3 linked regions of the Sus scrofa genome follow. The protein of the gene in region 1 purifies or fractionates together with the protein of each later gene. This does not show direct contact. Links are inferred from orthologs where the notes say so. Each region holds a gene or a part of one and is shown on either strand. Other genes may lie near its edges. The genes, in order: TOP2A, SMARCA4 and SRPK1.

Evidence for each region.
Region 2: the proteins of TOP2A (region 1) and SMARCA4 purify together in Homo sapiens (affinity purification with western blotting; 3 studies listed by BioGRID and IntAct, with this or other methods). This does not show direct contact. The link is inferred for Sus scrofa from reciprocal best matches to the Homo sapiens genes TOP2A and SMARCA4.
Region 3: the proteins of TOP2A (region 1) and SRPK1 fractionate together in Homo sapiens (co-fractionation; 3 studies listed by BioGRID and IntAct, with this or other methods). This does not show direct contact. The link is inferred for Sus scrofa from reciprocal best matches to the Homo sapiens genes TOP2A and SRPK1.

What each region holds. Positions count from the first base shown.
Region 1 is NC_010454.4:22,011,293-22,014,943, forward strand, and holds part of TOP2A (DNA topoisomerase 2-alpha), read left to right. Parts: intron 1-291; coding exon 292-384; intron 385-1,048; coding exon 1,049-1,163; intron 1,164-1,266; coding exon 1,267-1,388; intron 1,389-2,986; coding exon 2,987-3,135; intron 3,136-3,651. UniProt on the Homo sapiens protein: Key decatenating enzyme that alters DNA topology by binding to two double-stranded DNA molecules, generating a double-stranded break in one of the strands, passing the intact strand through the broken strand, and religating the broken strand.
Region 2 is NC_010444.4:69,737,579-69,741,229, reverse strand, and holds part of SMARCA4 (transcription activator BRG1), read right to left. Parts: intron 2,638-3,651; coding exon 2,511-2,637; intron 1,967-2,510; coding exon 1,793-1,966; intron 467-1,792; coding exon 293-466; intron 1-292. UniProt on the Homo sapiens protein: ATPase involved in transcriptional activation and repression of select genes by chromatin remodeling (alteration of DNA-nucleosome topology).
Region 3 is NC_010449.5:31,677,186-31,680,836, reverse strand, and holds part of SRPK1 (SRSF protein kinase 1), read left to right. Parts: intron 1-1,654; coding exon 1,655-1,763; intron 1,764-2,773; coding exon 2,774-2,861; intron 2,862-3,651. UniProt on the Homo sapiens protein: Serine/arginine-rich protein-specific kinase which specifically phosphorylates its substrates at serine residues located in regions rich in arginine/serine dipeptides, known as RS domains and is involved in the phosphorylation of SR splicing factors and the regulation of splicing.

The sequences.
Region 1 (3,651 bases):
GATCTGGCATTGCTATGGCTGTGGCGTAGGCTAGCAGCTGTAGCTCCGATTAGACCCCTAGCCTAGGAACCTTCATATGCTGCGAGTGCAGCCCTAAAAAGACAGAAAAGCCAAAAAAAAATATATATATATAGAGAGAGAGAGTAGAATGTTTTCAGTAATCATATTCCAGAGAAAGGAGGCATATATTTTAGAAAACTGAGATTTTGTTGTTTATTAGTTAATTTCTTATAGAAGAAATAACTTGGAACCTGTCTACCAGTGACATCTTTTTCATCTTCTAATTTGCAGGCCTTTAGCAAAAAACAGATAGATGATCGAAAGGAATGGTTAACGCATTTCATGGAAGATAGACGGCAACGAAAGTTACTTGGCCTTCCTGAGGTACAAAAAAATTTTTTAATATAGCCCACGAAATGTACTATTTATTGACCTTTTAGAATTGACAGAGCAAATTAAAATTAATAGTTATTTCACTAGAAATGTTAATAATAGATAACTGTATATCCTTATTTAGACACCTGCATAAATGTGTTAAACCTGAAAGAAACTAGAAAGTTAATGCATTTTTTTTCTAATTGTGCAGCAGTTAAATTCGCTTTGTCTTTAAAACATATAAAATACTTTTCATAAATCTTTATTTTTGAGGGATTTAAGAATTATCATGGAGAGAGTTCCCATTGTGGCTCAGTGGAAATGAATCTAACTAGCATCCATGAGGATGCAAGTTCGATCCCTGGCCTTGCTCAGTGGGTTAAGGATCCAGTGTTGCCATGGGCTGTGGTGTGAGTCACAGATGTGGCTCGGATCTGGCATTGCTGCGGCTGTGGTGTAGGCCAGCAGCTCTGATTCAACCCCTAGCCTGGGAACCTCCATATGCTGCGGCTGCAGCCCTAAAAAGACAAAAAGACCAAAAAAAGAAAATTTTTTTTTCATGGAAATAACAGTGCTAAGGAATGCCTTTGTTTTATTTTTGTCTTAATCGTTGTTATGACCAGTGATATTTTTTATTTTTAACTAGATCATGTAACACTCTTTGGTTTCTCAGGATTACTTGTATGGGCAAACTACCACATATCTGACATACAATGACTTCATAAACAAGGAACTTATCCTGTTCTCAAATTCTGATAATGAGAGATCTATCCCATCCATGGTGGATGGTGAGTTTCAATTTATTGGTCTATTTTTATTATAACATGGAAATCAATGCCCAGAAATGGTTAAATTGAGGATATTAATATTTACACTTCTTTCGTTTTGAAGGTTTGAAACCGGGACAGAGAAAAGTTTTGTTTACATGTTTCAAACGAAATGACAAGCGAGAAGTGAAGGTGGCCCAGTTAGCTGGGTCAGTAGCTGAGATGTCCTCTTATCATCATGGTGAGGTAAATACATAATCCATAATGTTTCCAGAAAGCATTATAGCAGAAATACCTGCAAAGTCAGTCTCCAAACAGTTGGTGAAAATATAAGCTGGTATATCCATAGTGGAGAGCAATTTGGTGAAAACTATCAAACTGTAAAATGTGCTTATTTTTTGACCTTACAAATCTATTTATAAAAATAATATAAGGATACTATAATCAAAAGACATGCAAGGATCTATATTCAAAAGTGTTTAATAATGTTTGCTGTAACTTTGTTATGCCACAATTTAGACATGAAAAATGTCCATCAATTGGAACATTACTATAAATTGTGACACATCTATACATGGGATCAGATTTACTTAAGTAAATCTATGTGTGCTAACACTGAAGAATGTCCACGTTCTATTGTCAGGTGAGGGAATAAAGGAGGCAGAATAATACTTGAAGGATGTGCTCCAAATTGTTAACTTTGGTTATCCCTAGGAATTGGAAAGGGCAACTTTCCAGTTTTTCATATATGTCTGAATTGATTTTGTACAAACATACATATTGGTTTTGTTTTTGTTTGTTTGTTTACTTGCTTTTCCAGGGCCGTGCCTGTGGCACACGGAAGTCTGTGGGTTAGGGGTCGACTCAGAGCTGCAGCTGCCGGCCTGCACCACAGCTCACAGTAGCGCCGGAGACTTAACCCACTGGGCAAAGCCAAAGATCAAACCCACATTCTCACGGATACTAGTGGTGTTTGTTACCACTGAACCACAATGGGAACTCCTACATATTCATTTTTTAATTTTGTGATTGAAGTTGCTTTTTTTGCATTGATGTAAAACAATTTTAAAGAATTAGGTTGCCTGTAAGTTTCTAGAACTTTAAAGGTAATGATTGCCTTGCTTGTTGCTTTCAATCAAAATATAGCAGCTAGGAGTTCCTGCTATGGCACAATGGTATTGGTGGTGTCTTGGGACACAGGTTCGGTCCCCAGCCTAGCACAGTGGGTTAAGGAATCCAGCATTGCCACAGCTGCGACTTAGGTTGCAAGTGTGGCTTGAATCTGATCCCTGGCCCAGGAACTCTATATGCCGTGGGGTAGCTAAAAAAGAAAAAAATTAAAAATATATACATGGGCTACTCAGTAAATGTTCACACAGTAAACATTTGTTGAATGCTTACCATCTACCAAGTGTACAAAGATAAATCATATGTTTGCTACCTTTAAGGAGTTAAAATCACAGTTTAACCATATGACTATCTCTTTCTCTCTCTCTCTCTCTCACACATACAAAATGGTAGAATAGAGTGATACATGCTAGAATAGAAATGAGCAAAATGTTTTAACACAAAGAAGGAAATATTTCATTCTGCTGAGGGTGAAGAGAAGAGCTATGCCTTTAAGGTTGAGTCAGATGATAAAAACCATGTAAGGCAAGAGCCCAGAGCTTGGAGACAGAAGTCTTGGGTTTAGATACTACTTCTGTTATGTTTTCATATGTAAAAAGCCAATAAAGATCTACATTTCATAAAATCTTACAGGAGTATAGTGAGGCATAGTCATAATCAGACAGTTATTATTAAAAGCCTACAGATAAGATTAATGAATCTTTTTTCCCCCCCAGATGTCACTTATGATGACCATTATCAATTTGGCTCAGAATTTTGTGGGTAGCAATAATCTGAACCTCTTACAGCCCATTGGTCAGTTTGGTACCAGGTTGCATGGTGGCAAGGATTCTGCTAGTCCTCGATACATCTTCACAATGCTCAGGTGGGTATGCTTCCAATTTTCAGTGAATTGCCATTTCCAATTTTGAAGTATTATGACATTTAGTTGACCAAAAATTTTTAAATTCAGTTAATCAGAAAATATGTCTTTGTTGCAGATGCTCGGATATTAATTTTTTTTTGTCTTTTTTTGGTCTTTTTTTTGCTATTTCTTGGGCCGCTCCCACGGCATATGGAGGTTCCCAGGCTAGGGGTCGAGTCGGAGCTGTAGCTGCTGGCCTACGCCAGAGCCACAGCAACGCGGGATCCGAGCCGCGTCTGCAACCTACACCACAGCTCACGGCAACGCCGGATCGTTAACCCACTGAGCAAGCACAGGGACCAAACCCGCAACCTCATGGTTCCTAGTTGGATTCGTTAACCACTGCGCCATGACAGGAACTCCCGGATATTAATTTTTTTAAATGAATTTATTAAAGTTTAATATGCTACTCTTTTCAATGAGCAGAAAGTCAAAATTCCATTTCAGTTTGATAGCTTGAACTTTGTGTCTCTTAGA
Region 2 (3,651 bases), on another chromosome or scaffold:
GGGAGGTCGGCCTCACACCTTCGGTGGCTCTTCCATCAGAAGGGGCTGCCACCTCCAATTTCCAGAGAGCACAGAGCATCCAGCAAACCTGTGGTCACTGACGGCTGGAGTGGCCCGGCAAAGGTCTGGTGACAGGTCCTTCGGACTCCCAAACCCAAGCCCTCTCTTCCTCTGTCCCACTTCTAACTCTGAGCAGCAAAATACCCCAGCGAAATCCTGGGCAGTCAATCCCCATGCTTGTGAGAGAGAGACACACACACAAAGGAACCCGGGTCACAAAGGCCAATTGTACCATGAGCCTCCGCATTCTCTCCTTCTCGATTCTTTCGTTTTCCTTCTTCTGTTCCCGCTCTGTGTTGGCGTGGTAAGTGGCCACCGCCTTTGTGAGTTTCTGGATTTTGCCTGTGACTGATCTGTGATATTCTTTGAAATCCTTGGCATGCTGAAGAATGCTGTTGAGGTATTCCTGTAGGAAGCACACAATAGAGCAGACTGACTACAGGACAGGAGTCGCTGCATCGAACATCAAAGGTAGCTTGGTGAAAACCCAGAGGGCACAATCTAAACAACACATCGACCCTATGCCCATGAAGTCCAGCATTCTCTGCGTCGGGATAAAACTCCATGCCGGCCTGTGGCGTGAAGGGCCTTCCCTCGTGCACAGTAGATGGGGTAGTCCACAGGGCTTCCACTGGGCTGGGACCACCTGGCACTGTCTGCCAAGTGCTTCCAAACACAACTGCCTGCCAGCCAAATCACTCCACTGCTAGGGATTTATTTCAAGGAAAAGAGCAGAGACTGGCCCCCAAATTCAAGTATAAGAAAGTCTATCCCAATGTTATTTTTAATATTGAAAAGCTGAAAATATACTGCATGTCCCCCAGTAGGAAATGGTTTCATAAATTACTGGATGCTGGACATACTGAGAAGGACTACAATGTAGACACTAAAATCATGCTTCAACAATACTCTAAACAGGTCAACATGTGTATGTTGTTTTAAAAAGTGGCTGCTTAACTTGTGATTACTATATGTAAGAAAAAAGAAGATTGGAATGATATATACCAAAATGTTAACAGAGGCTAACACTGAGCACTGACTTTTTTGTTATCATAAACCGTATCAGTAATAGATACTGATAGGAGAAAACTTCATAAAACATATATCAACAAAATCAACCCAAATCCTATTTGAGGAGAGATTCTGGTTTCCTTTACTGATGTTGTAACAACCTCTGCCAGATCACTCCCTCTGCTTAGGACCCTCCAGGGCTCTCATCTCATTCAGAGTGAAAGCCCAAGTCATCCCCTCGCCCCATGGAAGCCTTGCATGCTCTGCCCATCACCTCCCCCTTCTCCCCACCTCCTGCTCGCCTCCTTGCTCACTCCACTGACTACACTGGATCCTTGCTTTTCACAGAGCAGTGGGACACAACCAGCCCCAGGGCCTTTGCACCTTCCCCTCTATCTGGAAACACACACATCTGGTGGCTCCCTCCCTTGGGCCTCAGAGCTCACCTGCTCAGGGAGGACCTCCCAGACGGACCATCCTCCATCACGCTCTAGCCTCACTTCATGCTTCCTTACACCCTATTAACTTCCAACATGTTATACACGCATCTGATTCTACTATTTGGCTTTGTCCCCTGATGTATTTTTAATGCTCAGAATACTGACATAACAAACGGAAAAGAGACACAGACAGTGTGTTGACAGATAAACCAAGGCTCAGCAGCTTACAAGCTGACACCCTGGACATGTGGGCAGGCTAACGCGCAGCTGCAGGGACCTACCTGGTGCTTCTGCCGGCGCTTTCGCTCCTGCTCAATCTTTTGCTGCTTCTCCAGCTTCTCGGTGATGCGGGCCTCGCGCAGGGACTGCCGCTTGCTACGCTTGTAGGCCTTGGCATTGAGGGCCGTCTCGAGGGCTGTGTCCCTCCGCATGCACACTACCACCTCCTGCCGCAGCTTCAGGAAGGAAGAGGAGAAACTGGTAACGGGTACAACTCCGCGACATCTGAATGACATGCACAATTCCACATGGCAAGCTGGGCAGAAGGCTCCCGCTCCCAGAAGGACCCATGAGCACAAATGTGTGCACGGGGAGGACACATGGTGAGGCCCTCGGGTTGGGAGATGGCTGCTTCTGGACACCCGGCAGAGAACACTCTCACACCTCAGGTCTCCAGTTCTACCCTCCCTCAACCACAATCAAACAAAATTTCTTATTGGTTGTTCAAAAGGAAAGGACCCTCAGCAATAGACCCATCTAAGTTCCCTGCTTCAAGCTGGTCACTGCCGCCTTAAGGAAGACCCACGTCTATTCAGCCTGTGCCTTCACTGAGCAGTTCCTCCACTGGGCAGGATGTGCAGAGGAAGGGGGGGGACAGTGACCTAATGAATGTGGGTGAGCACTGAGGCTTTTAATGGTCAGGGTGCATTTAAAGACCTGAAGCAGTAACATTGACAGAAAGGGCTCTTTTCCTAAAGCATCAGCTGCGCCTGCGCCCACCTGCCTCTGGAAGTTCAGGAGCCTGAGGGCCTTGAGCTCAATGGTCGCTTTGGTTCGCAAATCCCCGGCCAGGGACCCGGGAAGGTTTTCAAGTTCCTGAATTCGGTGTGCGATGCGAGCCTGCAGCCTAGAGTGCAAAGATAGAAAGAAGAGCAGGTGATGGGAGGTCTCACTTGTTTATAAGGAACACACCTCTTCCTTTTCTTTAAAGCCAGAACCTCAGAAGAATCCAACCCTTGAAGGAGGCTGCTACTGGTCACAAGACAGGACATGGCTAAGAAAAGGAGGCCACACAACACAGACTACACACAGGACAGCAGCTGCAGAGGTCTCGGGAGCCACGGCAAACAGGAAACCTGACAGGGCGCAGCAGGCTTCTGCCATTTCAGCAGTGGGAGCCAGGCTCTGGAATCAGGCAGCCAGTGTCTCCATCCCAGCCCTGGGAATCTACTTAGCCCCTGAGCCTCAGTGTCCTTAGGTGTGAAGTGGGGAGACCCTTCATAGCACCCTCCAGGGTTGCTAACTGTAAAAAGAGACTTCAAAAAACCTGTATGGGAAACAGTACACAGGTAAGGATGAGAGCAGGGAGGAGGCATAGACCAGACAGCAAGGTGAAAGGCGCTGGGGGTAAGGAAGCTGAAAGGGTTCACCAAGCGGACATCAGGGATGAGGAAGGGCAAGCAAGGGTCAAGGGGCCACGGGGGCCACGGTCCACTCAGCTACAGGATGGTAGGTGCATGGGAACAGAGACAGGAGGGGAAAGTGGGTGGGTGTACCACCATCTGGACAGGCCATCTTTAAGCCGTCCAGATGGGGAGGTGCCTGGGTATAGGGGCTGGAGCTCCAGGGCACAGCACAGCTGGAGATGCACTCTGGAGACGGTCATTTGGCAAAGCTTTCCTGGTGCATCTGGGGAGTTTATGGTGCACAAGGCACAGCCCCCTCCTCTGATGGAGCCAATATTTATTTACCAAGGGAGGCTAGCCCTGAACAAGTCATAATGGAGAAACAGGCAGTGCAAGGAGCTTGGGAAGTGAAGCTCTGGCACCCCCACAGGGTGGAACAGGGTGATACAGTTCTACTGTGCGCCAGGCATCTCACACAGCACCTGGCGCCCAGGAGGCCTGGGCAAAGCTTGCCA
Region 3 (3,651 bases), on another chromosome or scaffold:
AGCATCAAACCCACATCCTCATGGACACTGTGTTGGGTTCTTAACCCCCTGAGCCACAACAGGAACTCAGGCATAAACAGGGGGGTTTTTTTTTTTTTGTTTGGTTGATTGGGGTTTTTTTTGTTTTTCTGTTATTGTTTTTGCATTTTTAGGGCTGCACCCATAGCGTATGGAGGTTCCTAGGCTAGGTGTCAAATCAGAGGTACAGCTGCTGGCCTGCACAACAGCCACAGCAACACAGGATCTGGACCTTGTCTGCAACCTACACCACAGCTTATGGCAACACTGGATCCTTAACCCACTGAGCGAGGCCAGGGATGGAACCTGCAACCTCATGGTTCCTAGTTGGATTCGTTTCCACTGTGCCACAGCAGGAATTCCCAGCATAAACAGTTTTAATGCTTTTCTCTAAGTACAGGAATTAGTATTCCCTTTTAGTAATTAAAACTTTGTTTTATATTAAATCTGTTTCTATTCCTTTTCTCCTTAAATATGGTAGTGCATATTTACCTTAGAAATTTCAAAAATGTATTCAACAAAAAGAAAATAAAGGCTATCTGTAGTGCTGTCATCCAGAAGTAACCAGCGATAAGATTGGATATACAGACTTGGAAAACACTTGCTTTTTCATTATTTTTTTCTTAAAGTGTTGATTGCTAACATATGTTAACTGGAATTAACAGATACTTAAACTGTTTTAGAAGATTACCTGATATGTTTCCTTATGAAACTTTCCAGTATTCTTGGGTAGCTCTTAAAACAGAGTGTATATTACCATCGAGGAGAACCTGGTTGTTCTTAGCAGCAGAGATGTTAAAATCCCTTGATTCCTGCCACTGTTGGCAGCCTCTTTAGGCCTTCCTGGTTTTTTTCTGTTGTATTATGTGTTTTAGAAAAGCAGTTCCTTTTTTTATTTTAAGTTAAGTAAATAGAACTCATTAATTTCTCTCCTAAAATATATCCCGAGGGAGTTCCCTGGTGGTCTTGTGGTTAGGGCTCTGTTTTCACCTCTGTGGCCTGGGTTCAATCCCTGGTCTGGGAACTGAGATCCCACATCAAGTTGCAGCATGCTGCAGCCAAAAAATTTTTTTTTTAATTCTGAGACTACAACCGTAAATGGATTTTATAGTTTAGATAAATCTGTTGAATTATTGAGGGGCAAGAATGGTGTGATACATAACCTTACTCTTGTTTGGGGCTGACTTTATTTTTTTAGGTAACTAAAGCATCACTTGCTCACTCTTATTAATCATTACTCTTATTCTCTAAGATACTTTTTTGTAGCATGAGCTCAACACTAGTGTGTGGCTGACTTAAAATTGTCCTTTGTTGAATTGACTGTATTAGAAGAAACCAATTTGGGAGTTCCTATTGTGGCTCAGAATCTGACATAGTGTCAGTGAGGATGCAGGTTCCATCCTTGCCCTCTATCAGTGGGTTAAGGATCTGGTGTGGCTATGGCTGTGGCATAGGCACAATTTCGTAGGCCTTAGCTGCAGCTCCTATTCAGCCCCTAGCCTAGAAACTTCCATATGCCCAGGTGTGGCCCCCCCAAAAAAATGTATTTGATAAAAGGTGTATTGATGTTGAAAAATGGGTTGTAAGATATCCTTTCTTACGTAAAGTGACTGTTTTCTTCCTGTTGTTCTTCCAGGAGGCTACCATCTTGTGAAAATCGGAGATCTATTCAATGGGAGATATCATGTGATCCGAAAATTGGGCTGGGGACACTTTTCAACAGTATGGTTATCATGGGATATTCAGTAAGTTTTAATGGTCCTGCAAGTGAATTAGGTCGTTTTTAAATGTTTTGCCTGGTTTTCCACCTTCAGGCTAACTCTAGACTAATTTCTTAATCAGAATCTTAACTGTTGATAATCTTTATGTTCTTGGCCAAATGACTTCACTCTGAAGCACCTTAGAGAAACAAGATTGATTAAATTAGTATCAGTAAGGTGCTTGAAGCTCCCAAATTCGAAGTATGGGATGTAACCTTTCAGTTTTTCTCACAGGAAGGAGTAGAGTAAAATTTTTTTATTGTGTCCTTTAGTTTCACCTATGTGAAATTATTTTTGTGTGTGTGGTTTCTTTTGCTGACAGATTTGCTCAGCCATACAATCTAAAACCTCTCTATGTAAAAACCGCAGGCAGTTAACATTGGGTGTTTACCTAAAAGTATCTTTGATGAGACAGCAATTGCTGTCTGTGCACTTAGGTTATAAACAGTTTTTCACCCATGTATTCTGGCTTCTTAGAGGAAAGTGTTAATAGCATTTAACCTTTTCTTTTTTTGTTTTGTTTGTTCTCTTTTTTAATCATTTATATATATATATTTTTTTCTACTGTACAGCATGGTGACCCAGTTACATATACATGTATGCATTCTTTTTTCTTACATTAAGTGTTCCATCATAACCTTTTCCCTTTACCCTGGATACTTTTAGTTTGATGGAGTTTTCCCTTTTATCTCTATTTCATGGTTTTACTTTGATTCACAGAGACATTCGGAGGGGTAGATTTTAACTTAGAGAAAATGTTTGGTGTCTGACATTATCCTAGAACAGATTTTTTTTCTTTTTGTAAGTTAAATTTGGCCAGTTAGTGCCGCTAACAGATATAGACAGCCCCATTGAAGTAGAAGTTTGTATCTGAGCACAGGACAAAATGAAATCAACATTTGTAGTTTTGTCACCATTTCCCAGTTACAGTTAAATCTTAGCTTCCTAAGTAGGGGTAGGACATTTAGTCTTAATTGCCTGTGTTTGTTTCTTAGGGGGAAGAAATTTGTGGCAATGAAAGTCGTTAAAAGTGCTGAACATTATACTGAAACAGCACTCGATGAAATCCGGTTGCTAAAATCCGTAAGTATTTGATTATGAGCTGCAAAGTTTTATTAAAAAAGCATTGTCTTTTCAGTTGAGACACACCAAGTGTATACTCTTGCATGGCTGGTATTTACTGTAAAGCTCCAATATCCTTAAAAGAAGACAGTATTTGTTTTAAAATGTAGTAAAAATATGTAAGATAAAAATAAGCACTGTATTCTCTTTAGTATCTGGAGACTTTGGTAAAATGTATCAAAAACTTATTTTCGATTTTGTTATAAATTAGGAAATGTCAGTGTAGCGAAAGGAGCTTAAACTCAAAGTTAGAAAACATGAGTTTTAGGACCATCACTCTCCCAGTATGTCCTCATCATTACTCATTTCTTCTGAGCCTTGGATTTTTCATTTATTAAGTGAGGCTGTTGAACCAGGAGAGGTCCTGGGAAGTACTTTTCAGAGTGCTAGTCTGTGACAAAATAAGGAGCTCAGGCCCAAAAGTAAATCAGTGAACTGCTTCCTTCCCTGAGAAAGTTTTTCTGTGAAAAAAATGAAGGCTGAATAAACAATGTGGTTAGTTGCTTTAGTTGACTTGCATCCTACAAAAGGAATTATTTCTTTTTTTTTTTTTTTTTTTTTTTTTCTTTTTGTCTTTTGTTGTTGTTGTTGTTGCTATTTCTTGGGCCGTTCCCGCGGCATTTGGAGGTTCCCAGGCTATTGGTTGAATCGGAGCTGTAGCCACCGGCCTACGCCAGAGCCACAGCAACTCGGGATCCGAGCCGCGTCTGCAGCCTACACCACAGCTCATGGCAACGCCGGATCGTTAACC